3 linked regions of the Elephas maximus indicus genome follow. The protein of the gene in region 3 binds, or shares a complex with, the protein of the main gene of each other region. Links are inferred from orthologs where the notes say so. Each region holds a gene or a part of one and is shown on either strand. Other genes may lie near its edges.

The links. Proteins that work in one complex are often made in the same cells at the same time.
Region 1: THOC6 (region 3) and CHTOP share a complex: the UniProt entries of both Homo sapiens proteins name them as parts of the transcription/export (TREX) complex. The link is inferred for Elephas maximus indicus from reciprocal best matches to the Homo sapiens genes THOC6 and CHTOP.
Region 2: THOC6 (region 3) and THOC2 share a complex: the UniProt entries of both Homo sapiens proteins name them as parts of the transcription/export (TREX) complex. The link is inferred for Elephas maximus indicus from reciprocal best matches to the Homo sapiens genes THOC6 and THOC2.

What each region holds. Positions count from the first base shown.
Region 1 is NC_064821.1:191,477,069-191,484,316, forward strand, and holds the start of CHTOP (chromatin target of PRMT1 protein), read left to right. Parts: upstream 1-4,023; 5' UTR 4,024-4,345; intron 4,346-5,289; 5' UTR 5,290-5,306; coding exon 5,307-5,371; intron 5,372-6,918; coding exon 6,919-7,072; intron 7,073-7,248. Other genes in the region: S100A1 (protein S100-A1), read left to right, coding at 1,017-1,157, 2,183-2,326. UniProt on the Homo sapiens protein: Plays an important role in the ligand-dependent activation of estrogen receptor target genes. May play a role in the silencing of fetal globin genes.
Region 2 is NC_064846.1:32,891,634-32,899,421, forward strand, and holds the start of THOC2 (THO complex subunit 2), read left to right. Parts: upstream 1-4,563; 5' UTR 4,564-4,578; coding exon 4,579-4,649; intron 4,650-7,788. UniProt on the Homo sapiens protein: Component of the THO subcomplex of the TREX complex which is thought to couple mRNA transcription, processing and nuclear export, and which specifically associates with spliced mRNA and not with unspliced pre-mRNA.
Region 3 is NC_064830.1:60,084,700-60,092,894, reverse strand, and holds THOC6 (THO complex subunit 6 homolog), read right to left. Parts: upstream 3,064-8,195; 5' UTR 2,861-3,063; coding exon 2,822-2,860; intron 2,309-2,821; coding exon 2,193-2,308; intron 2,078-2,192; coding exon 2,013-2,077; intron 1,928-2,012; coding exon 1,824-1,927; intron 1,739-1,823; coding exon 1,701-1,738; intron 1,619-1,700; coding exon 1,570-1,618; intron 1,437-1,569; coding exon 1,365-1,436; intron 1,278-1,364; coding exon 1,175-1,277; intron 1,093-1,174; coding exon 1,043-1,092; intron 963-1,042; coding exon 900-962; intron 798-899; coding exon 687-797; intron 605-686; coding exon 470-604; intron 397-469; coding exon 316-396; 3' UTR 236-315; downstream 1-235. Other genes in the region: TNFRSF12A (tumor necrosis factor receptor superfamily member 12A), read right to left, coding at 5,329-5,522, 5,729-5,833, 6,588-6,681. UniProt on the Homo sapiens protein: Component of the THO subcomplex of the TREX complex which is thought to couple mRNA transcription, processing and nuclear export, and which specifically associates with spliced mRNA and not with unspliced pre-mRNA.

The DNA.
Region 1 (7,248 bases), on a different chromosome or scaffold from region 3:
TCCCAGGGCCAAGGGAAAGAGGCCCCCCTGGCTTGACAGGCTCCTCACCCCAGCCCTCTCCTCAATAGGCCCCTCCATTCTCCTCTCCCAGCCCCTTGAACTCAAAGGACCGCTCACCTTTAGCCCTTTATCTCCTCCAACACACACCATCCCCCATTCCCCCTGCTCCCACTGTCCCCACAGTGAGCAGGCTGGGCCTGGGGAGAGGGGTGATGAAAAGCAGCAGGGACAACAAGGCCCTACAGGTCTCCTTGCCCCTTTATGGAAGCCCTGGCTCTAGGGATAAAGGGTTAAGGCTCCCTTCCCACCACTCACCTGATGAAGGGGCTGATTCTACAGTGAAGTGAGAGGAGCCAAACTAGAGGTAATGGGAGGCATACCCCAGGGAAGCCAAAATGACATATTCAGGAGATAATGGAGTTGAGGCACCAAAAGGGTTCCCTAGGTTGCTGACAGGAAGCTCAGGGGCGGTGAGATCCTCCCCCAAGAAGTCTTGGGCCACTCACTCTGGCTGCTACCCCTCCATTCAGGCTCACTGAGGGCACCAGACTAACTCCTTGCTAGGGTTGGGGAGTGGAGTCAAGGTTGTGGAGAGGACCCCAGCCCACCACCTCCTACAAAAGAACTTGGCTGTGCTGCGCAGGCAATGCCCAGGATAAAAATAGAGCCTGGCCACATCCTGTGACCATTCCTGCCTGCCCCACCCTCCTCAGTCTCTGCCCAGGCAGCCAGGACCCACTGCAGCAGTCCTCTGCAGGACTTCAGAGCCAACCCAGCTCCATCTGCTCTATCTCCATGCCCAAACCCTGACTCCATCTGGTCTGGATTTAGGTCTGTTTGGGTTTTCCCCACATTGTAAAATCTCAAGGAAAGATAAATAGGTGTGGGGATCTGATCTCGTGGCTATTCTGGCCTCGGACCAGGCCTGAGGCCAGAACTCCCCTCACCCCAGCCCCAGACACCCTAGGCTTGGTCCCCAGCTCACTTCCATCTTGGGGGGTAGGTGAGCTGCCGAAATGGGCTCTGAGCTGGAGACTGCAATGGAGACCCTCATCAACGTGTTCCACGCCCACTCGGGCAAGGAGGGGGACAAGTACAAGCTGAGCAAGAAGGAGCTGAAAGAGCTGCTGCAGACTGAGCTCTCCGGCTTCCTGGACGTGAGCAAAGAGTGGGGGTACAGGGTGGAGTGGGCAAGGAGTGGGCACCTTTCTGCCATCTACTCATCCTACTCCCAGGTCAGCCCAACCATCTCTCTGCTCTCCCAGGCTCCTCTCCTGCGTTTTTCCAGGCTCCCCTGCTTTTCCTGGTTCAAGTCCAAATGCCCTGGTTTACTGAGCACCTGCTAAGTGCTAGGCCCTGTGTAGATCCATCAGCAACAAAGCTCACAGCCTAGAAGGGAAAGACTGACACTTGAAAGTTAACCATGAACTACGGGAAATATACGGAGCCTTAACAGGGGTCCCAAAAAGGTTTGTGGCAGAATATTAACCTGATTAGAGTGAGCCAGCTTCTCCAGACAGGTGACACTTGAGCCATGGATTTCCACTGGTAGATAAGTGGGGTAAATGTAGACAGCAGGTAACAGCATGAACAAAAGCATGGGAGACAGAAGAAGAATAGGGAACCTGCTCAGTAGTTTGACTGGAGTGCAACATACAGATAATTAGGCCGCAGATGCTAACAGGGGTCAGTAGTAAAGAAGAAGCCACAGGCACAGTAGAAAGTGCACAGGCTTTGAGGTTTGATTAGATCTAGGTTCAAATTCTAACCCCACCACTTTCTAGCTTTGTGACTTTGGGCACATTACTTAACCACTGACTGACAATTTTTTTCTTCTAAAATAGGAATAATGAAACTTACCTCATATTATTTTTCTTAAGATTTAAATCAGATAATGCGTGTAAACTCCTAGTGTATTGCTTGGCTCATTGTAGGCACTCAACGTTTGGTAATTTCTGCTAATACTATTTCTCTGCCATGTTAAGGAGCTTATTCTCTAGGCAACCAGTTCATAAATGTTTGTTACTTTTGAGGAGGGGAGCAGAGGAGCTCCATTGGATGTAGCTCTCCCTCTTGCTCACCTCTGTCTCCTTCTCCCCAATCAACTATTCCCTTAACACTGACTCAGTGCTAGGCCCCTATACTCCTTGTACACCTGCCCCTTCCTTTCCTCCCTTGGCAGGCCCAGAAGGATGCCGACGCTGTGGACAAGGTGATGAAGGAGCTAGATGAGAATGGAGACGGGGAGGTGGACTTCCAGGAGTATGTGGTGCTGGTGGCTGCCCTCACTGTGGCCTGTAACAACTTCTTCTGGGAGAGCAGCTGAGCAGGCAGCCCCAGTGAGCAGCGCCCTTCCCCTCTACAGTGCCGGACCTGCCCATTCACCCCACTTTCCCCTCACCCCACTTTTCCCTCCCCACATTCCCCATTCCCCATCAAGGGCGCAAGAGTAGCAGGTCAGGCCTGCAACTCCTCTCTCATTAAAGGCTTCTCTCTCGCCAGCCATCTGCTGTCTGTCTCCTCTGGGGTCCAGAAGTGGGTGGAGAAGTAAAGACTGCTCACTCAGGACTAGCCTTATTTGGGGAGGAGCCTTACTTGGGGAAGGGTCTTATTCGGAAAGAGGTCACTTGCATTACATCCTCCTACTTGAGGAATGCTCAAGGCCCAGCAATGTGGGGTTTTAGGGTTCCAGCTGTTAAGTGGAAGAGACATCAGCTTCTTGGCTATAAAGCCAGAAAAAGAATCTCCATTCAACATTAACCAGTATTTACTAAGGACCTACCAATGTGCTTAAGGAGGTGGCACAGCTACGGTTGCTAACCAAAAGGTCGGCAGTTCGAATCTGATTGGAAACCCTATGGGGCAATTCTACTCTGTCCTATAGGGTCCCTATGGTCGTGGTTTTTTTTAGGGAGTCCCTGGGTGGCATAAAGGTTAAAGCGCTTGACTACCAACTGAAAGGATAAAGATTAGAGTCCACTCAGAGGTGCCTCAAAAGAAAGTCCTGCTGATCTGCTTCTGAAAAATCAGCCATTGAAAACCTGTGGAGCACAGTTCTACTCTGACACACATGGGGTCGCCATGAGTCAGAAGGACTCAAGGCAACTGGTAACTGGTACCATGTGCCAGACATTGTGTAGGAACTTAGGATACAGCAGTGAACAAAACAAACACCATCCTTACTCTCACATGGCTAAAGTCCAGCAAGGATACCGGGCCATTAAAACACATACACACAAGTGCTAGGAAGAGAAATAAAAGAATCTGATGCATAAGTAAGGTGGAGGAAGGGTTGAAGATGTGTTCATTCACTCATGTCTCAAATATCTGAGCACTCTGTTGTGTATCCAGACATAAAAAAAGTCCCTTTATAGAACTGTGTCAAAATTCACATGGCTGGCAGGTGGAGAGGGAGGACATGAAAGGGTGAGCAGGGACGCAAAGATCTCCCCAAATAAGGACTAAGCAATATTCGGGCCAAATTGGGGACGGAAAGAAGTGGAGAGGTTAATACGGACGGGAAGCGGTGAATGGCGCAGGAACCGGGAAAGTGTTCTCAACTCCCAAAATAGGGAGAATGGGGTTGAGCGGACAGCCCGGCTCCGTGATCTGCAAGAGGTGGAGTAAAATTCCGCGGAAAGATTTTTAGACGGTCAGACTTAGACGGTCTATCTTAGGAGGGAAGGAGTAAACAAGGGGATACGAAAACATTTTTCTTCGAGACTGAATCCGTCTCAGTGGCCCTGACTACGAAGGACTCCAGGGGTCTACAGCTCCTAAACCGAGGCGCCTCCAACGTGAAGGCCCCGTCAAGCCTCAACACTAGGGCCATTGGCCACGCCCCTCCGCGGTCGGAGCGCTTGGTGTAACACAAACAGGGCCTTTTACTAAAGCTCCGCCTCCTCCCTGCGGCTCCGCCCCTCAGCCTCGTGCCCAAGTAGCAAAAGTCTTTCCCGCCCCCTAGTTGTGCGTGGATCTGACGCCTGACGTAATAGCGTCGACGCCATTTTAGCCGGCCCCACTCCGCACGGGGCGTGGTGGCCATTTTGTTTTGGACGTCGAGCGGGACACGGCGGCGTCGGCGGCGGCAGCGGCAGCGGCAGCGGCAGCTGTGGTGGCATAGACGAAAAGAAGGAAAAGGCAGGCTGGGTGAGCAGGCGGACTGGCCAAACAGCCCGCAAACAACAACGAGCTAGCCTAGCAGTCTATCGATTACGCATCTAACCAACCGCCCACCAAGTTACCCCGAGCCCCCCACCGTCAACTCAGGTTCGGCCGGTCCCCGGCCCGCTTGCCGCAGCCGTGGTGGCAGCCCCGGGAGGAGCACTGGCGTCCGTTTCTTTTGGTGCGTTTCTGCAGTGAGGAGGGGGAGAGTCTTGGGGAACGGAAGGAGCTGGCGGTCGCGAAGTGGGGGGTGGTGGCATGTGGAAGCCGACCGGGTGTTGGAGTGAGGACGCCCCCGAGAGGGGGCGGAGCCCGGGAGGAGGAGGTGGGGAGAGGCTCAACTGGAAACTGGTGGCGGGATTGATGGGGGATAACAGGGAAAAAAGGAGAATTGTTTGGCGAGTTGAGCAAAGCTGGCTGTCTTCCCCAGGTTTTGAGATGGTAGAGAGGCTAAGTGAGGGCTGTGGGACTTTGGCTTGAAAATTAACGGTGGCTTTAGCGTTACATTCTGTAGAGAGCTCTCTGGGAGCTAGCTCTCAGGTGAATGCCTATTTAGGAAGCCTTTTCTACTCCATCGTCAAGCTCCCCAATCCCTTGCTAAGGCCACTACTCGATTTTAACGTCGAAAGCCAGTTTTGAAGCCAAGTATGCCTGTTTTTTCTCCAGATCAATGCTTCTCAACTTTAGACGCGCATTAGAGGCACCTGGCTAACATTCCTCCCCCCATTGCTGATCCCCAGCCCCACCCCCACCGATTGTGGTTAATTGGTCTGTGCCTAGGTTTCTATAGTTTTAAAAGCTCCCTGGGTAAGTCATATGTTGCCATACACTACCAGTTGAGAACTGATCTAGATTAAAAGCCAAGCTGTTAACACCCCTTTTTGCCATCTTTGGTTCTGCTACCATTTTTGAGACTTTGGCTGATATTTTATGTTCTGTGGGCTTCAAATTTTAATAGTTTGAAGTAATTACCTTAAAAACTTAAGCAACTGAAATGTGTTTTCATGTGATCTTCAATAGTCAGTGGTGAAGGTCTTTCCATTTGTTGTTGGTTCGGGCCTTGGCCCTTGTAGAAAGAGGTCGTTGTTATTCCAATTTGCTCATTTTGTCCATTATCCTTTGTAGATTCTCGGGATTTGAAGATGGCTGCACAGTCAGCTCCGAAAGTTGTGCTAAAAAGCACCACCAAGATGTCTCTAAATGAGCGGTGAGGCAGCCAACAGCAACTTCAGCTCGTTCATAAGAAAACATTACTTAAATTGGCCCTGGGATCCAATGCACAAAAACGGTTTTAAAATAACTAAATACCAACAGAAGGCTACAGACTTCTGTTCTTAGTTGCATCTTAATATGGTACACACATTGGGCGGTTGTTTCAAAACCCCTTTTTCAGTAGATTTTTATGTTAAGCTGTCTGAAACATTTATCTGGTGGGATGTATTTTAAAAAGACTCCTCACACCCTCCCTCTCTTCACATTTTTTTTTTACGTTGATACAGGGGTGGTGCAGCACGGTAGCATGGTACCCTGGCTGCAGAAGGCTTGCTGCCCAGTCCAAGGCCAGCAGTGTTGCGTCTGGCCTGTAAGAGGCAGGTAGCAAGCCATGAATCTGTCCAAAGGCCCTTGAATATCATTCTTGGGCCTTGTAAGAGGCACTTGCTTTGCTCCATTTCACTTTCTTCCCATTCTGCTTTTAGTTTGTTTTTGTTTTGGATTCTTTTACAGTTGTGTTCTTCTCTTTCGTGCCATTCATCTTACCTTAACAGAAATAATAGAGTGTCTTCCCAAGCTCTGAAATGATTGAACTAATTTAACTTTCTCATAAGTAATTATTTGGAGTCAGGGAAAGTGTCCATTTGAGGTTAAGAAAAGTTTAGGTATTTAAAGTAGCTTTTGTCTCTGAGAGCTCTGTTCATTGAGGGCCTTTGGCCAAAAAATTTATTAAGTTGATGTTAGACTGCTAGGAGATTTGTCTGTCTGTTTTTGTCTTTTTGAAGCATATGTGCTGCTTCTCTAGCCCCTTTGGTATGATATACTTACTAGCTGTCCATATTAGCAAGCTACTGAGTAAACAAAACATAAGAAAATGTGATGCAGTCCTGTAATATATATGGATGTACTATTTCCGTAGTCCCTGGGTGGTGCAAACAATTAAGGCACTTGGCTGCTAATAGGTTGGTGGTTTGAGGCCGCCGCCCCCCTGAGGTGCCTCAGAAGAAAGGGCTGGCAGTCTGCTTCCCAAAAAGCAGCCATTGAAACCACCGTGGACTACAGTTCGACTCTGACATACATGGAGTCCCCATAAGTCAAAATTGACTCAGCAACTGGTAGTAGTTCCATGGGCTTTGAAGGTGCTCTAGTCACTCCTTGTATTTGCCCTTGGAATGCACTCTGAGGTTCCCCAAGGTTTTGGTTATCTTTGTTTGTCTTTGAAACTACATCTTCTGTCTCTTGTTATCATATCTGCTTATTGCGTGTTTTTCATACCTTCCATTTCTCTAAAAGCTGTTACCTGAGCCCTTGTTATCACTTTTGATTGAATGTGCTGCACTTAGCTACATTTCTAAGTTTCTGATTCTTGCAAGTTTGTGGAAACAGAGGAGTCTTTAACCCACATCAGCCTTGATCTAAAGTGTACCACTTTACTTAAAGTTCGTGGGATCTGGAGCTCCTGGTCTAGCAAGCCATGAAAATGCCAATAAATGTTTTGTAATAAAGCTTTTATTTAAACATCCATTTTGTTCGACCTTGAAGCTTTACTAATATGCTGAAGAACAAACAGCCGATGCCAGTGAATATTCGGGCTTCGATGCAGCAACAACAGCAGCTAGCCAGTGCCAGAAACAGAAGACTGGCCCAGCAGATGGAGAATAGACCCTCTGTCCAGGCAGCATTAAAACTTAAGCAGGTGAGAGAATGGGTCTTAATGCTCCAGAAGCAGCTGGTGATCTCTGTCAGGCAGAGCCCTGAGGCTGTCAGGACGTGATGGATGATTTACAAGGTGGCTCAGGGCAAAAGCTGAAACTTCTCTGGAAGAAAGAGAAGTTCAGAAAATTCCAAATTGGGCAGGTACTGATAAGTAAC
Region 2 (7,788 bases), on a different chromosome or scaffold from region 3:
CAACAATCTCTGCAATACACACATGGCAAAAGCCCATATTCAGTGTCTGTCCATATCTATAACACTTTTCAGCATCCCACTAAATAGTACCTGCCATGATCAGGGCCCACACAAATTGTAATAGTTAATATTTATTGAGCTTTTACTATGTGCTGGGGACTGTTGTAAGCATGTATTACCACCTGTCATCTGATTTTATCCTCACAATAGTCCCATGAAATTGGTGCCATTAAGGGGAGCATATGATTTCCCACTCCCGATGTATCCTTCTCGGTGGGGGCGGGGCCCTGCTCCACAGACTAATACTACTTGCCTCTCTCCCTTCACTCTCTGCCTCCTTAATTTCTCCACTGTTCCTCCAACTCCCCTCTTTAGGAGCTGTGACTTACGTGATGGGTCCCTTTGGAAGAAGAAACTGGTCATGTGTAGCCTGGCCCCCTACCTTTCTACTTCATCATGGGAAGAGAACAGATGTTCTGCTCAGTTCTATTAATGCTGTCAGTTTTTATAAGGGTAACCTATGCCCCTGTGGGGTCAGGGGGAGGCTTGCCCTGGTTCAGTGCTGCATGTGACTGAGTGGGTCAGTCTGATTTTGGAGTTTAAGTATTAGAAGGCTGTACTAAGTAAGGTGCAAAGTGGGCAAATCCCATCCTTGTTGCCAGTTGTACTAAGTAAGGGGCAAATCCCACCTTCATTGCCAGTTGAGTGTTAAGAATCAGCATGAAACCAATCCCCAAAATGTGGAGACTGATATAGTCTACACCTTCCTACTTCTCCATCCTCATCACCAGCCTTCCAAGTGGTACTCTCTCTCTCCAACCCTACCCACCCAGAGCTGGGTCAGAGCTCACAAGTTAGATGGACACCATCCTTTAGACTGCCAAATAGGCAGACGCCAGCCTCTGCTGGCTTTCACTGCCCCTTTGGGTTGATAATATTCTGGAATGACTCACAGAATATTGCAGAAAGTATACCATACTTATGACTACACATTTATTACAACCAAAAATGATACAAATGAAGAGGCACGTAGGGTGAGGTCTGGGAGGGGTCCCAGCATGGAGCTTCCACACCCCAAAGGGACACACTACCCTCCTGAGAGCAGATGTTCTTACCAACCAGGAAGTCCACTTGAGCCTTAGGGCTCAGGGCTTTTATCAGTCTCACCATGTGGTCATGATACATTACGCCTCTAGAGGTTAGTCAACATCAGGCCGCCAGGTGGTCCTTCTTGCTCTGGTTAGCCCCCACTCATTAGTCTCAGTTGTCCTCCAGCTCTCAGGAACTGAGAACAAAGGTGAAATTGCCTTATGCACCTCATAGAGGCCCAATCGATTACAGATTTAACCGTATTCTACTAGCTGCCTCCCCCTTTCTTCTTTTTTTAAAATTTGATTTAGAAATTTGGGCAAGAAAGAAAAGTGTAAGTCATTGGGCTCCCTTCAATCCTATTCGATAAGGGAAGAAACAGAAGCATAGAGAAGTTGATTAACTTTCCCAAAGTCACATAGCTAAGTGGAAGAACTTGGGTTCAAGCTCAGGCACAATAGAGGTAAGATTGTCAGCTCTGGAGCCAGACTGCTTGGGTTTGAAGTGGGAGAGAAGAGGAAAATTAAATGGTAGGGAGAGAAACAACGAAAAGCTTAGAGGAGATAGTGAGAATCCTTATAATCTGGGCCCTGTTCAAACCTAGCAGACAGATAGTGTTAACATGTCCCAGTTTTCAAACTATGGCCATATCTGCCCTGTGACTCTGACAAACCTCTCCCTCACAGGCATCTGGACCACTACCTCTTCCCACACTGCCTCTTCTGTGAGATTCCAATTCCAACCTGAAGACCTAACTATACTACCTGACACAGATGATTGAAGGACCTTTTTCTCACCAGACGAGCAGTTCAGTCAAGGTAGAGCCAAGTTGATTGGTTTGGCATAAACAGCCTTAGCATAAAATGCAGAAGCTATTAGGTACCTTATTCCAAGGAACTTAAGTCGGGATCTTGGAAAACCTTTTGTATTCATTCTTTTATTATTTTACTTATTTTGCCTTGGTTTATTTTTATGTGCCTATTTCTTGGTTCCATTATCTATTCTCACTGAGATGGTAAGTGAAATGATTGCTTGACCTTACCATCACCCAAAACCAATCTATGACTACATGCATCAGACTATCAACATTGATACTAACCAGTCCCTAGCCATCACCACAGATCTCAGTCCCTGCCTAGCAGATTGCTACCTTTGAGCCAGTTAGGTCACCAGGGAACAGTACTCCCAGGTGCCAAGACAATACCAGACACTGATAGCAAAGAACAGGTAAGCCAACAACAAGGATGTAAAAGATACAGTAGCTTCGCAATCTTATTGAGCAAGAAGCCAATTAGCCCTGAGGAATTCCTAAAGGAATTGTCATAGCATGTAAAAATAGTTTTGTGGCCTCTGGGAGAAAGGAAAACCAAGGTCTGTGTACTTCAAAAGCCTCAAAGGGCACCACTGCACTTAGCTCATACCACATTTACGGCATACTGCATAGTATTCATACTGTACAGTTCAGTACTTGTAAGAAGAAATCACTGCGACATAGTGGCAAAGTAAGCCACAATACAGCAGAATACTGTAGATCAGTGGTTCTCAACAGGGGACCTTTTGCCCTCCAGGAGACATTTGGCAATGTCTGGAGACATTGTTGGTTGTATCAACTAGTGTGTGTATGGGGGTGCTACTGACAACTAGTAGGTTGAGGACAGGGATGTGGCTAACATTGAAGGCAACTGACAACAACATGGAAACCCTGGTGTCATAGTGGTTAAGAGCTATGGCTGCTAATCAAAAGATCAGCAGTCCGAATCTACCAAGTGCTCCTTGGAAGCTCTATGGGGCAGTTCTACTCTGTCCTATAGTGTCACAAGGAGTCGGAATCGACTCCATGGCAACGGGTTTGGTTTTTTTTTTTTTTTAACAACGTGGTGCCCTGGTGGCACAGTGGTTAAGAGCTCGGCTGCTAACCAAAAGGTCTGCAGTTTGAATCCACCGGGTGCTCTCCTTGGAAAGCCTACGGGGCAGTTCTACTCTGCTGAAATCCACTCAGTTGGCAGCAGGTTGTATTTTTGGAACAACAGCATATATATATCTACATGAAATATTTCATTTTGAAACAAATGTTGACATAACATGAAATGTTGTTTTGAAACAAACATTAACTTTTATTTTGAATTAACATTTTAAAACTTTTTATTTTAAAAGTTGCTAAAATAGTACAGAGGATTCCATATGCCCTTTGATTCTTCAAACGTGAACATTTTACCACAGTTGCTTTACTTGCTATGAGTTATTTTTCTGAAACATTTTGCAGTAAGTTGCAAAACAACGCCGCACTATTTCGAAACATCTCAGGGAGAATTTTCTTACAGCAAAGACTTTCTCTTACATAACTACTGTACATGTATTAAAATCGGAAATTAACATTGATACGATACTATTACCTAGTCTACAGCTATTCTAATTTGGTCAGTTAAAAATAGTGCTTTTTCCGTCCAGGACTAGTGGTCCTACCTCTTTTCTATTAATCTGGACGAGTTCCTCAATCTTTCTTTGTCTTTCATGACTTTGATAATTTTGAAGAGTGGATACAAATTATTTTGTAGACCGTTCCTAAATTTGAGTTTGTCCGATGTTTCCTCAGGATCAGATTTAGGTTATGCAAAGTTTTGGCACTAATACTGCAAAATCGATCAGCGTTTTTCTTAGTGCCTCATCAGGAGGCGCTTGATGTCCATTTGTCTCATTTCTGGGGCTGCTTACTTTCCTCAGTTAGGACGGCGTCCACCATGTTTTTCCATTGTAAAGCTTCTATTTCACGCTTTGAAATAGTAACTATCTTTTGGGAATATACTTTGAGACTACGTAAATATTCAGTTTCTCATCTTACTTGCGCTCCCTAGTTCTGCGTAAGGTTACAATAGTGATAGACAGAGTAGGGTTTCAGAATACGTAGCTCCTTGTGTTTCCCAGGGCCGATTTCTGGATCCCTCCCTTGCATTAGCATAATGCCTGGCGCGCAGTGAATGCCCGCCCCCTACCCGACTAGTTTCTTTTTATCTCAGCCCTGAGCAGAGTGTATTGTAATTTATGTCTGTCTCTCACACAAACTATGAACTCGTCGAGGGCAGGCATCGTGGCCTACTGTTTCTCAATACCAAAGTATAGCACGCATACAATACATGCTAGACACTGGAGATACAAGCAGATAAATTACAGTCGAATTTGAACAGTCGCCTGTAGATACTATGGAACCTAAGAGTTACAAGTCAGACTGGGGACGGCACGTTTCCTGTTCTAAAGAGAAGCGAGGGTGGCGGAGGGCACGTGTGATACAGTTACTTTGCGAAGGGGCCCACGGCTCGCGCGCGGCCTCACCGTTGACCGGCGGGCCTCTCACTCACGCGGAGTTAGGAGGAAGGTGGGGCGGGAAATCGAAAACCGAACTCTCAGCTCCCGGCATTCCTCGTAGGCGGTGCTCCCCTTTGACCCCTCGCTCGCGTGCTACACATCCGGGCTTTTGCTACTAGTGAGGGGAAGATGGCGGCCGCAACTGTGGTGGTTCCCGCAGAGTGGATAAAGAACTGGGAGAAATCAGGGAGAGGCGAATTGTGAGTGTCCAGGCCGGAGGCAGGCGCCCGTCTAGGCCGGGCCCGGGCGGCGGCCGCCCTCTCTTGTGTGGCGGGAGGTTGGGGAGAAAGATGCGCCCCCTCCCCCATCAGGGCGGCGGGCGTGGACGGTTGTCTGGGAGTTTCGAACTCAGGGAGAAGAGGTGCTCGTAACCGCCGCCGACCTCCTTCCTTCCCTGGCCTCCGTAAAGTCCCTGCTTCCTGCGGTAGCCCCGGCTTCCTTTAGCCTCTTCGTAGAACTCCGTTTCGCCCCCGCGGGTCCCTGCGCTCCTGCTCGGTCTCTTTTTGTCCCCTTCTTCGCTTGAGCTCACTTGGCTCCTTTCTCTTTACGGGGCCGCCGGGGGGGGGTTCGGACTCTCCACCTCTCTCTGTCCCATTTCTTCACTTTGCACCCGTTCGACTCCGCAGTTGGGAGCCCGGAACCTCCTCTGCCCGAAGTCCGAGGAGGGCGAACCGTCCCGGACTCCCTCCCCTCCTCTCCGCCCGCCGCCGCGAAGCCCCGGGCATCGCGAAGAGCCCCGCTTGGCACCTCTCGTCCTCCCGGGGAGCGATCTCTCGGATTGTCCCGGCCTCGCGCGGCGCCGCGGCCGTGGGGAAGTGTGGCAGGGATTGCCTCTTTCCTCGAAGACCTACCGGCATTTCTTTGCTCGTCTTTTCACCTTAGAGCCTTTTCGGGTTGGATTCAACTGTCGTCATTAAATGTTTCCTAAACCCCATTTTGTCCTGGGACTTCAACTAATTTTGGCAACTTTCCAAGCTTCTCGAGTACCTAGGATAACGCGTTTCCTTTAGCCATAAAACTTAATTTTTCCCCCAGTAACACCGAAAACAGTTATTTGCCGTTCTCGCGGTTTCCTCGCCCAAATTTTCAGCTCGCTCGCTCTTTCCCTCCCCCCACCTTGTGAAAAAAATACCGTTTAAGCAGCAAAAGAAACCACAGGTTTAAAAACAACTTAGTTCTAATTTCCTTCACTGAATTGCTTTAGAAGCTAAAGCTGAACCCTCTATGAGCTGAATGCTTGCTAGCCCTTTTTGTCGTCGTTGCCCCCATCCTCCCTTCCAGTAGCTTGTTTAAGGTTGCTGGTGTGAAAAGATAAGAATCTTTGGAACTTCATTTCTCGGAAGGAAATGCGGGGAACGCGTTGCTGGATCTTACGGGTGTAATATTGCCCGCCCCAATGGCCCACCGCCCCTCCTACGCGCACGGCCACGAAGTCTTAACAGTGGAGCCCTAGAGTTGGATTGCCTGAGTAAGCGGCCGTTTTAGCCTCTTAACTGGCTGAGTGACCTTGGTTAAGTTCCTTAACCACTTTGACTGTTTTCCCTTGAATAAACTGGGAATAATAGTACTCTATTCAGAAGAGCATTGTGAAGACTAAAGGATAATCCTCGTAAAGCGCTTGGCATATAGTAAGTGCCATAGTGATAGCTATTAATAGTAATATTTCAACCTATAGATGTTTCAACTTAGCGGGACAGCCCTTGCGCTTAAAGTCTGTAGCACTCAGTTCGCAGTTAATTGGTCTTTGACTTTTTATGTGTATTTATTTCTGTTCTCCAACGAATTGAGAGGCCCTTGAAGAGTAGGGACTGTGTCTCATATTTCTTTTGATTCTGCCCCTTCCCTCCTGCCAGCCCTTCTGGCACGTGCTTGGAGTGCTTATTGGTTTATTAACGGTAAAAAAAAAAAAATCCGTTGCCGTCGAGTCCATTCCGACTCATAGCGACCCTATAGGACGGAGTAGAACTGCCCCATAACGTTTCCAAGGAGTGCCTAGTGGATTCGAACTGCTGACCTTTCGGTTAGCAGCTGTAGCCCTTAATCACTGTGCCACCAGGGTTTCCTATTAACGGATAGAGAAGTCTATTTGATAAACATTCATTTTGAACTGTCATGAACATTGTCCAGATTCTTACACAGCCAGTCAACAATTATCTGTTAAGTCCCCTGTGTGCATGCAGGGAAGACTGGATGATCATCATCTGTATTAGATTAGGATAACCCAAAAGATTGATAAATCACTTCCTTGTTTTGTTAGGAGCCCTGGGGCACAGTGGTTAAAGCGCTTGGCTGCTAACTGAAAGGTCAGCGGTTCCAACTCACTAGCCACTCCAAGGGAGAAAGGTGAGGCAGTCTGCTTCTGTAAAGATTACAACCTTGGAAACCCCATGGGGCAGTTCTGCTCTTTCCTATAGGGTCTGTGAGTAGGAATCGACTTGCTGGCAGTGGGTTTGGTTTTCTGTCTGTTTTGTTTACTTTTAAAGCCAACTTATTTATTCAGGGGTTGTCATCTTTGGAGATTGCTCAACTTTCTCCTTCCTGCTGTTTTTGACAGTTTTACTATTATTGCTCCCACCTTAGAATGAGTGGTATGGGCTAGGAAGTAAAATCAAGAGCCTTCTGTTTGGCTTCTAACTGGCAGTGGTTGGGGAAAAACAAAATGATGTTGGGAGTTAAAATACCTAGCCAGAATGGAATTTTGAATTCATTTTATGTATATTTACACGCTCCATGATATCTGTCATAGCTCCTGAGTTTGAAGAGCTGCTTCAGAATTGTTACGAGGACTTACATGTATATAGTTATTGCATGGCTTGTGGAATGTGGTTTGAATTATACTAGATCCAAATCAGTATAGTCAGTTTTGTAATTGAATTCTGTTATATAAAGTGTCTGAAGTTAACTGTGTAACATAATGGAATATTTTAAATAGTCAATCATTTCACCACTTGATACTTAGTTTTCATATATTTGATTCCTTTTCCCGCTATAAAAACTTTGTTGCATATAGCCTAATTTGGGACTTCTTGTCATCTTACTAAAGATAGATGTTAGCAATTTCATTAGACAGAACAAATTATGTTGTAAATATATTACAAAAAAATCTTTCCTTTGTCTGAAAACAGCCTCTTTTAAGTGTAAAACAGCAAATGAAAATGTTAAAAACAAAGGTAGTGTGTCACCAAATTAGAATTGAGTCCATTTATAGTTCTGGCTCTTAAGAGTATGACCAATATTTAAAATTGGATCTTTGATGGATCTTTCCTTTTTAAGGAGATGAATTAACAGATGAGCTTTAACTTGACTGAAAATTACCTTTTAAAAAGGTATGATGTAGTT
Region 3 (8,195 bases):
GAAACCCAGGCAGGGGCTCACAGTGAGCAGGGGCCAGCTTTTGGGGCCAGGGGTAAGAGGTGGGTGGTGGGGCAGAGCTGCCTATTTTAGGAGTCTATAGGTCTATCTTTTCTAAGCACTGGGCACTCTCCAGGCCAGGATGACAATGTGTATTTATGTATCAAGATCAGACAGAGTAATATATAAATCACAACACCAGCTTGGCCTCCATTCTTGGGAAGGAAGCACATGGAAGAAACGTTGGAAACTTTATTTGTTAAAAAGAAAGGGAAAAAAAGCACTCCAAACTCCTGGGGTGAAGGGTGTGTTGGTGGGTCAGAAGGACAGGGAGAATGCACGGTAGCCCAGATTGGTGAAGACATCCACCCGGCAGCTGTTGCCTGCAGCTGTCAGGACCTGGAGACAAGAGGGGCATGAGGGCCCTGCCCAACCCCAGCGTCCCAGTATCCCATCCCTTCACTGGACCCACCTTGCACTCAGGAGCCGCTGGCTGCTGGTTGAGGCTGAGGCTGAGCAGCCCCGGGGAAGAGCCTGGTACCTGGGCCTTGAGCTCCCCGCTCAGCTGCCATTGGTTGACACAGGGGCCCTGGCCGGCAGATAGAATCTGTAGAGGGCAAGAGAGGGCTCAAGGGTCAGGGCTGGAGACGGGAGCCAGCAAGGGCGGCAGAAGGAGACAGAGAGCCTACCAGGTCCTGGTAGAAGGTGACGTGCTTCTGTGGCGCCCGCATGGGGAAGATGGTGGTGGGTGTAGAGGACCGCAGGTGCCAAAGGGTGAGTGCTGGGCCCCCTCCACAGACCTGGCCAGAAAGGCAGGGGTCCCCGGCCGCTGTGAGCCATGAACCCCTGAAAGCAGGGCCCAGAGCTGCCACCCATCCCACCCCACCCTCTGGCCAGCTCACCATCCAGTCTGAGTCGGTTGCCAAGCATCCGATCCAGCGCCCGTTGTGGGGCCTGGAGCACTCCTAGAGGGAGGAAGAAGAGAGTTGCGGATACAGAGAAGCTGGGGAAGAGCAAGGAGGATGGGGCTGGGGCATGGCCTCACCTCGTGCTTATAGACCTCGATTGTCTGTACCTCCTTGGCTGTGCGGAGGTCTGTGGAGAGAACCTTGAGGGGTGCCATCCTTGTCCCATCCTCCCCACCACCATCTCTCCCTCCAACCAGCCAGCCCCTTACCCCAAAGCCGCACGGCCCCATCCTCACCACCCGAAAGCACCTCGGGGCTCCGCTCCCGCAGCGCCAGGCAGTGGATGTAGTCCGTATGGCCCCGGAGGGCCCGCTGCGGGGAGAGGGGCTGTGTCAGGAGCAGGTCCAGAAAGCACCCCGCCCCCACGTGACCTGCCCCTGGCTCTCAGGCCCTGCTCACCGTGAAGGCCCCAGTCTCAAGGTCCATAGTGTGTAGCTGACAGTCTCCCCCAGCCAGGATAAGAGAATTCTCCTGCAAAGAAAGGCAGGGCAGGACTGGAAATCAATGACAAATCAGGACGGGGACAGGTGGAAGGACCAAAGTTTGGGCCAAGAACACAGCAGGGCGGAGCCCCCAATCACAAAGGACTTAGGGGGCCTCAGACCTTGGGGACGAGCAGCAAAGAATTGATTTCAGGCACTTCCAGGCTGGTCCTGGGGGAGGAAAAGCAAGGTCCGCTTTGGTTCAAGGGTGCCTACATACCCAAGTGCCTCCCCCCACGTGGCCCTGGCTCACCTGTATGGTGGCTGACAACGCCACAGCTCCTTGCTGCCCTTCATGGTAGAAAACGCCAAGTGACCTCTAAGGCTCTCCTTGGGCCTGGGCACCCAGCCTGTTCCCCAGGTCTACACTCCTTACCTTCTTGAGGATCTCTGCCCACAGCCAGGCCTTTACCTCCCCATCCCCGGCACTGACTAGCTGTCGATCGGTGGACACCATGCTGTAGACGGGCCCATCATGGGCTAAAGGGAAAGAACCTGAGCGACCCCATCTGGCCCCTTCCTCCACCCTGGGATCCCCAAAGCCAGACCTGACAGCTGCACCCACCTTGGAAGGTCACCACAGGCTTCTTACTTTCCTCTTTAGCCTCGGAGCTCAAAGCAGCGGACAAGCTGAAGTTGAGAAGGGAAAGGGGAGGGGGCCCAAGAGCCAGAAGCCGGGAGCATCAGTCCCAGGAAGGCCGAGTGCCAGGACTAGTGGGTGCAGGGGAACAGGGGCCATGGGTACCTGAAGATGGCAATCTGCCCGTAATTGTTGCCTGCCGCAAGGAACTTCCCACAGGGGGACACACTCTGGGAGAAGACAGTCATGTGCAGCCGCTGCAGGGCCTGAAACACCTCCATCTGGGAGGAGAGGTGGGATAAGAACCTGCAGACCTCTAGCCCTGCTACAGCCCAGCCCCCCACTGTCCAGACTTCTCAGCCCTCCTTCAAGGCAGCCCACCCCGCAGGCGCCTGCCCATACAACCCTGGGAGGCGCCAAGAAGAGGATGAGGAAAGGGAGAGCTCAGGTGTGCTACCTAATGGGACCTCGAGCCAGCTCCCTAGCTTCTCTACTCAGTTTCCTCAAGTATCAAGTGAACTCACTGGAGTTTGTGTCTCAATTAGATGCGCTAATGTATATAAACAGCATCGCAAAGGGTCTGCCATGTAAAAAGCGCTTAAGAAGTGGTTCTCTTGTCCCCAATACTTAAAAACGTGTTCACTTCTGGGGTACTCCTCTGGCTCCCGGTCTGAGTCCGATTTCCACTAGCAACCCACGCGCAACAGGGCTCGGGACATGATTCTTCGCCCGCCCGGTCGACCCGGGCCTGGAATACAAACCCCAGAATGCCCTGCGTCCCGTGCCTGCCTCACCTGACCCAGAGGAACCGCTTGTGGCACTACTCGCTCCATCTCGAGGACTACAAGTCCCAGAATGCTTCGTGAGACGCGGCTTCACGAGTCCGGACGTGCCCGCGACCAACTCGTCTGCGGCGCCCCACGTCCCAATACTGCCGCCGGTCCGGCGCGAAGGTGGTTTCCGCGTTCCGCCCCAAGCCCCACGAACCGAGATGAGCACCTTGAAGGCCGCGGCACTACGTGGCGCCCCCTGTAGCCCTGCTACGCCTGATCCCCTCCCCCACCCCGCTGAACAGACCCGCCTTCCAGCCGCGTGCCGCCCGTCTTCCGCGCCTGCGTGAATGCTCACTGCTGCGCGCGCCAAGGCCACGCCTCCCGCCGTGCCACGCCCCCCCAAGGCACCGCCCCTGTCGGGCGGATCCCTCCCCTTTGCTCGAAGGACGGGTAGCCCCAAAGATCCTGCCGCAGCCCCTAGAGCGTGGCCCCCGGGGTCGGACCCAGCGCGACCCCAGTGCTGCCTCAGGGGCGACCTGGAGCCTGGACGCGAGGTGCGTGTGAGGCCCCCGGGGTGGGCCTAGCCAGGGGGCTCAGGGCTGGTCTGCAGTATGACACATGGCGGGTGAGCTGGTGGAGCTTGGGCGTGAACTGAGACTGGAATGGGGCTGGGGGCTCAGGGCTGCTGGATGGCCCAGGAGAGGAGACGTGACTTAGGGGGTCAGCTAAGACAGGGATGGGGGCTGCTGGCTGAGGCTGCAGGCTCAGGCGGGCAGATCCTCTTGGCATGGGGCCAGGAGGGTGGGATGCACCTGGCTCTTGTCTCTTCTCAGCTTCCCTCTCCAAGCTGTGCCCATGAGCACCAAGCGGCGCCTGGAGGAGGTGCAGTGAGTTTGGAGGCAAGGAGGGACTCCCAACTAGACCTTGCCCACCTCTGACCCCCATCAGGCTGCCTCCCCTCTCCATATCCCAGCCAACCTGCCTTCCCTTCTTTCCCCAGGGAGACTTTGCACAAGCAGTTCTTGTCCGAGGAGAACATGGCCACCCACTTCTCTCAACTCAGACTGCACAACCACCACCCCTACTGCAGCCCTCTCAGGGCCTTACCTCCAGTCCTACCCCCACTCAGGTGGGCACCTTCCACCTGCCAGCCCCCTGGAGGATCACACTGGTCTTCAGCCCAGCCTCCAGGCCCTGCCTCATCCTGCTATTTTTAGCTTCTGGGTTGTTTCCCATCTTGACTCCTTGGAGGGTGGTGACCTGGATCTAGTGGGGGGTGGCTCTGCCAGGCCAGCCGAGCCCTGCCCTGTCATTTCCTCTTCCAGGAGCCCTTGCTCTGAGCTCCATCTGTGGTGCTACTCTGGGAACCTGATCCCTGAAGCCCTCCAGCTGCTGAGGCTGGGGGACACTCCATCCCCCACTACTCTGTTACCACAGCTGGGGACATAATGGAGCTCTGAGTACTGGTGGGTAATGTCCTGCCCACCTGCCTTTCTCCACACATAGGGGAGACCAGCACCAAGCTTCCCTGCTTCTCCTCCTCCACCAGACCAGGCCTCTGGGCATCAGGACCTTCCCCCCCACCAAGGAGGACACTGAGGACAGAGCCCTGAGTGGGAGGGCAGGAGGGGCAGGAGCTTGGGGAAGAAGGCATGCTACTGAGGAGCACTGAATAAAGACTGCTGAACAAGTGAAGGCTTCACTTGGGGCCTAGGGAGAGCTGGGGTGCCGGATGCGTGGCTTCTCCCTCAAGATATTCCCTGGAAAACAGTCTGGGCTTAGCCAGGCCCTGGCAGGCTGGGCTCAGGCATTGAGAATGTGTGAGTCAGAGCCTCGCCCCCACCCCCGCGGCTGCCTGACTCACTCCCTCCCTCCAGCCAGGGAAGTCGAGCTGGGACCCTGCCACTCTCCAAGCCATTTAAAGTTAAAAACTCTTTTATTAATAAATTCTCCCTCCCTCTCAAACTTTTTCCCCAAAATAAATATCTCCCCACTTTGGGGGCTAGTAGAGGCAGTGTGGTAGAGCCGGCCCCCCTAGAGGGCCAGCCCCTAGTGTTCAGAGCAGGTCCCTAACCCCCCAGGCTGAGACCCCTGTCAGCGTTTCAGCACATCTGAATGGGTGGGGCCTAGTGTTGTGTCTGCCCTTCAGGTCGGCCTGGCCCCCCAGGGCATGGGGGGTAGAGACCCCCTTGTGCAAATGCTGCAGTTCCTCAGTGTCAGTGGTCGATAGTGTGTGAGCTGGATGGGGCTCCTTTCTGTCCTGGAGCCTGAGACCAGGCAATGAGAGATACCTTGGAAGGCTCCCCAAAACCTCAGGCCTCAGAGATGATTCACCACCATCACCCCTCCGGGTGGCTGGCTGAGCCTGGCACAGGCTGAGTCTGGGAGGCAAGGGGTGGCTCCAGAATGAATGAATGAATGCGTGGGAGCACAGGCTGGCAGGGGGCGCTCACTGTCACTGGATCAGTGCCACACCTGGGCAGCCCTCCCCGCCAGTCTCCTCGATGGGGGCTGCAAGACAAGAGGGGTCACAGTGAGAAGGAGAAACTGAACAGTGACAGAGGCGGGCAGGCTGGGGCACACTTACTGGTAAACTTTTCTCTCCTGCGGCATCTTCTCCAGACCAGGAAGCCAGAAAGCAGCCCTACCACAAGGGCCAGGCTCAGGGCACCCCCCAGGATGGGCCAGAGCAGCGGGAAGGGGGCTGGAGGGGCTGTAGCACCTGGGGACAGGATGTGAAGTGAGACCTCACCCCCCAGATCTGAGCCTCATGCATTCCCCTTCCATTCACAGCTCTGATCAGAGCCCCTTCCCCACTCTCCCTCTTCCGGATTCTGCTCCAGATGGAAAGCCTACAGTCCCCTCTCCACCCCAGCATCCCTCTCTCCGGGTCCAGGGTCCACCGGGTCCGACCCCACCCCCACTCACAGCCCAGGCAGAAGTCGCTGCGTGGCCGCACGGGGCACGACGCACAGTCCATGCACTTGTCGAGGTCCGAGCTCCAGGAGGTGCCGCGGGGGCAGGGGGCAGCACCTGGGGAGGGGGCCTCGGGTCAGATGCTGGGGCGGGGCGCGGCTATTCTGGGGGCTGAGGTCAGGGTCGGCCGGCTCGAATGACTTGAGTCACCAGCGCCCTCCCCCGCATTCCTCACAGGTGACCGCACGGCCCGTCTGGGACACGGCAGTGGGATGTGGGAGAGAAGCGCCAGTCTCTAGGGGGGAGGGATCAGGTCCTCCACAACCTAGCCCCCACCCGTCGCTGGCGGGTGACTCACTCCCGGGCACCAGGCCCGACCCCGGCCCCTCCCCCCGCATAGCTGGGCACTTAAGTCACCGGACGGACGGAAGGGGGCACCCCACATGGCATAGGGGGCAAAGACGCCCGTGTCTCTCGGCATCTCCAATCTCGGGTCACTGGGGATGAGCAGACCCCATACTGTGCAGGCTGGGGGCGTGACCCGTTAGCAGATGAGACATCCCGCCCACAAACTTTTTTCTGCCCCCTCTTCGAGCCCCGACTTTCAGGAAGAAGCCCCCGACGTAGGCAGGAGGGAAAACTGAGGCCCGGACTGAGGATGAAGCTTAGAGCTGGATGGGATCTCCCCTAGCCAGGGAATGCGGTGCCTGGAGACCACCTGGCCCCGGACTCTCATGCCTGCTTCGTTCCCCTAGATTCGGCCCACATTTCCCAAGCCCCCAGACTCGGCACCCCTGCCCCCAGCCCTGGGTCCTCCCAGCCACGCGGCCCCCACATTTCCAAGCCGGGTACCGGCCCCGCGCCCGCGTACCTGGCGTCCGCTCCCCAGCCGCAGCGCACAACAGCGCCAGCCAGAGTCCCAGCACGAGAAGCCGCAGCAGCGGACGCAGCGGGCCAAGAGCCATGGTGCGCGCGTCCACAAACCGCCGCCGTCTGCTCCCTCTGCCAGCCTGCTGCTGGAGGCAGCGCGTCCTCGCCTCGCCCCCGCCTTCCGGGGCGGAGCCTCCTCCCACCCCGCCCCGCTCCTCACAGCGCCCAGCCAGTCTCCCAGCGCCCCGCCTTGCAAACTGGCTAAGGTCTGTCATTCGTTCAACAAACACTAGCTCTGCGCCCAGGACCCTGCAGGGTCGCAGAGGCGGGCCTGCCCTCTCGGTACCAAGTCCAGAGGGGGACGGCCATCAGAGAGACACGAAACAGCTCTCATCGCAGAGATGGTGGCAACTTTCTTAAGGGCCCCAGAGGCTTAACAATAACAACAGAACAAAAATAATCCCTAACATTCATTGAGAGTTTACCGCGTGCCGCTTAACCGCACCTTAGGAAGCAGTAGCATATTAAAATGCAGGCTTGTTTTTTCCATTTTGCAAAGTAGAAAACTGAGGTTTGGGAAGGTTAGGTGTGAATTGCCGAGGTCACAGCGGTAGGAAGTGGCGGAGTCGAGAGGCCAGCTCCGTTTGGCTCCAGGTCTCGCGCCCTCACCCACCGCGGGCCGCAAGTCACCAGCTGGACTGCGTGCTGTGCCCGGTCTCGAGTGCCGCCTTCTGACTAGGGTGGGATTCGCGCGTCGGGCGCGGTTTGGGCCGGGCTCTCTGCCCCTCCCCGGGGGCGAGGGGCAAGTGACGTCACGACCGCCTTAAGACCCCTCTCGCCTCCGCCCCATCGAACATTCTGCCACCTCCTACGAACCATTCTGTAGTTCTCTGCAGGTGTGCCGAGGGTAAGTTGGGGGGGTACCGGGAAGAAGACGCACCGAGGGGCCTGGGTGCAGGGTTCGTGGCAGCATGAGTGAAGTGCGTGTGGACAACCCGGGCTGCGCTCCTTGCGGTGAGACCCTGGGTTTGGGGCTGCGCCGCAGCCGCCGAGTAGGTTGGGTCCTTTGGCGGCTCCGGAGGGCTTAAACACCCCTCCCCCTCCCCAGGCACCGACAAAGGCACCGAAACCCCTGGCGCCCCTCCCCCATCTGCGCTGCCTCTCAGGGGCGGGAATCCCCTCCCCCTCACCTGAGGGAGCGGACCCTGCCCCTGGCGTCGCCATTAAACTCCTCCAGGACGCGCGGTCCCCAGCTGGGGCCGGCCCAGAAGCCGGGCACCCTCCTTCAGGGCTGAGGGCGGGCTGGGGCGCGCGGACTGAGCCGAACCGGGAAGGTATGGAAAGCACATGGCGCGCTCAGGGGTGGCTAGGCCGGCGCAGTCCGTCCCTAACCTGGGGCTAGGATGGCGCGGCCACACCCGGTCACCTTCCCTGGGGCCGGGGTGGGGAGGCCATGGAGAAGCGAATCCAGAGCCTACCCTCCAGCCATACGGCTAGGGCCGCGCTATGTTTGGGTCCGAGACGTGTGGGAAAACCTGTTGAACCCTAAAGCTGACCCCCTGTGGCCGTCTCCACCAGTTGGGATGTGAGGAGGAGACAGGTACCGAGT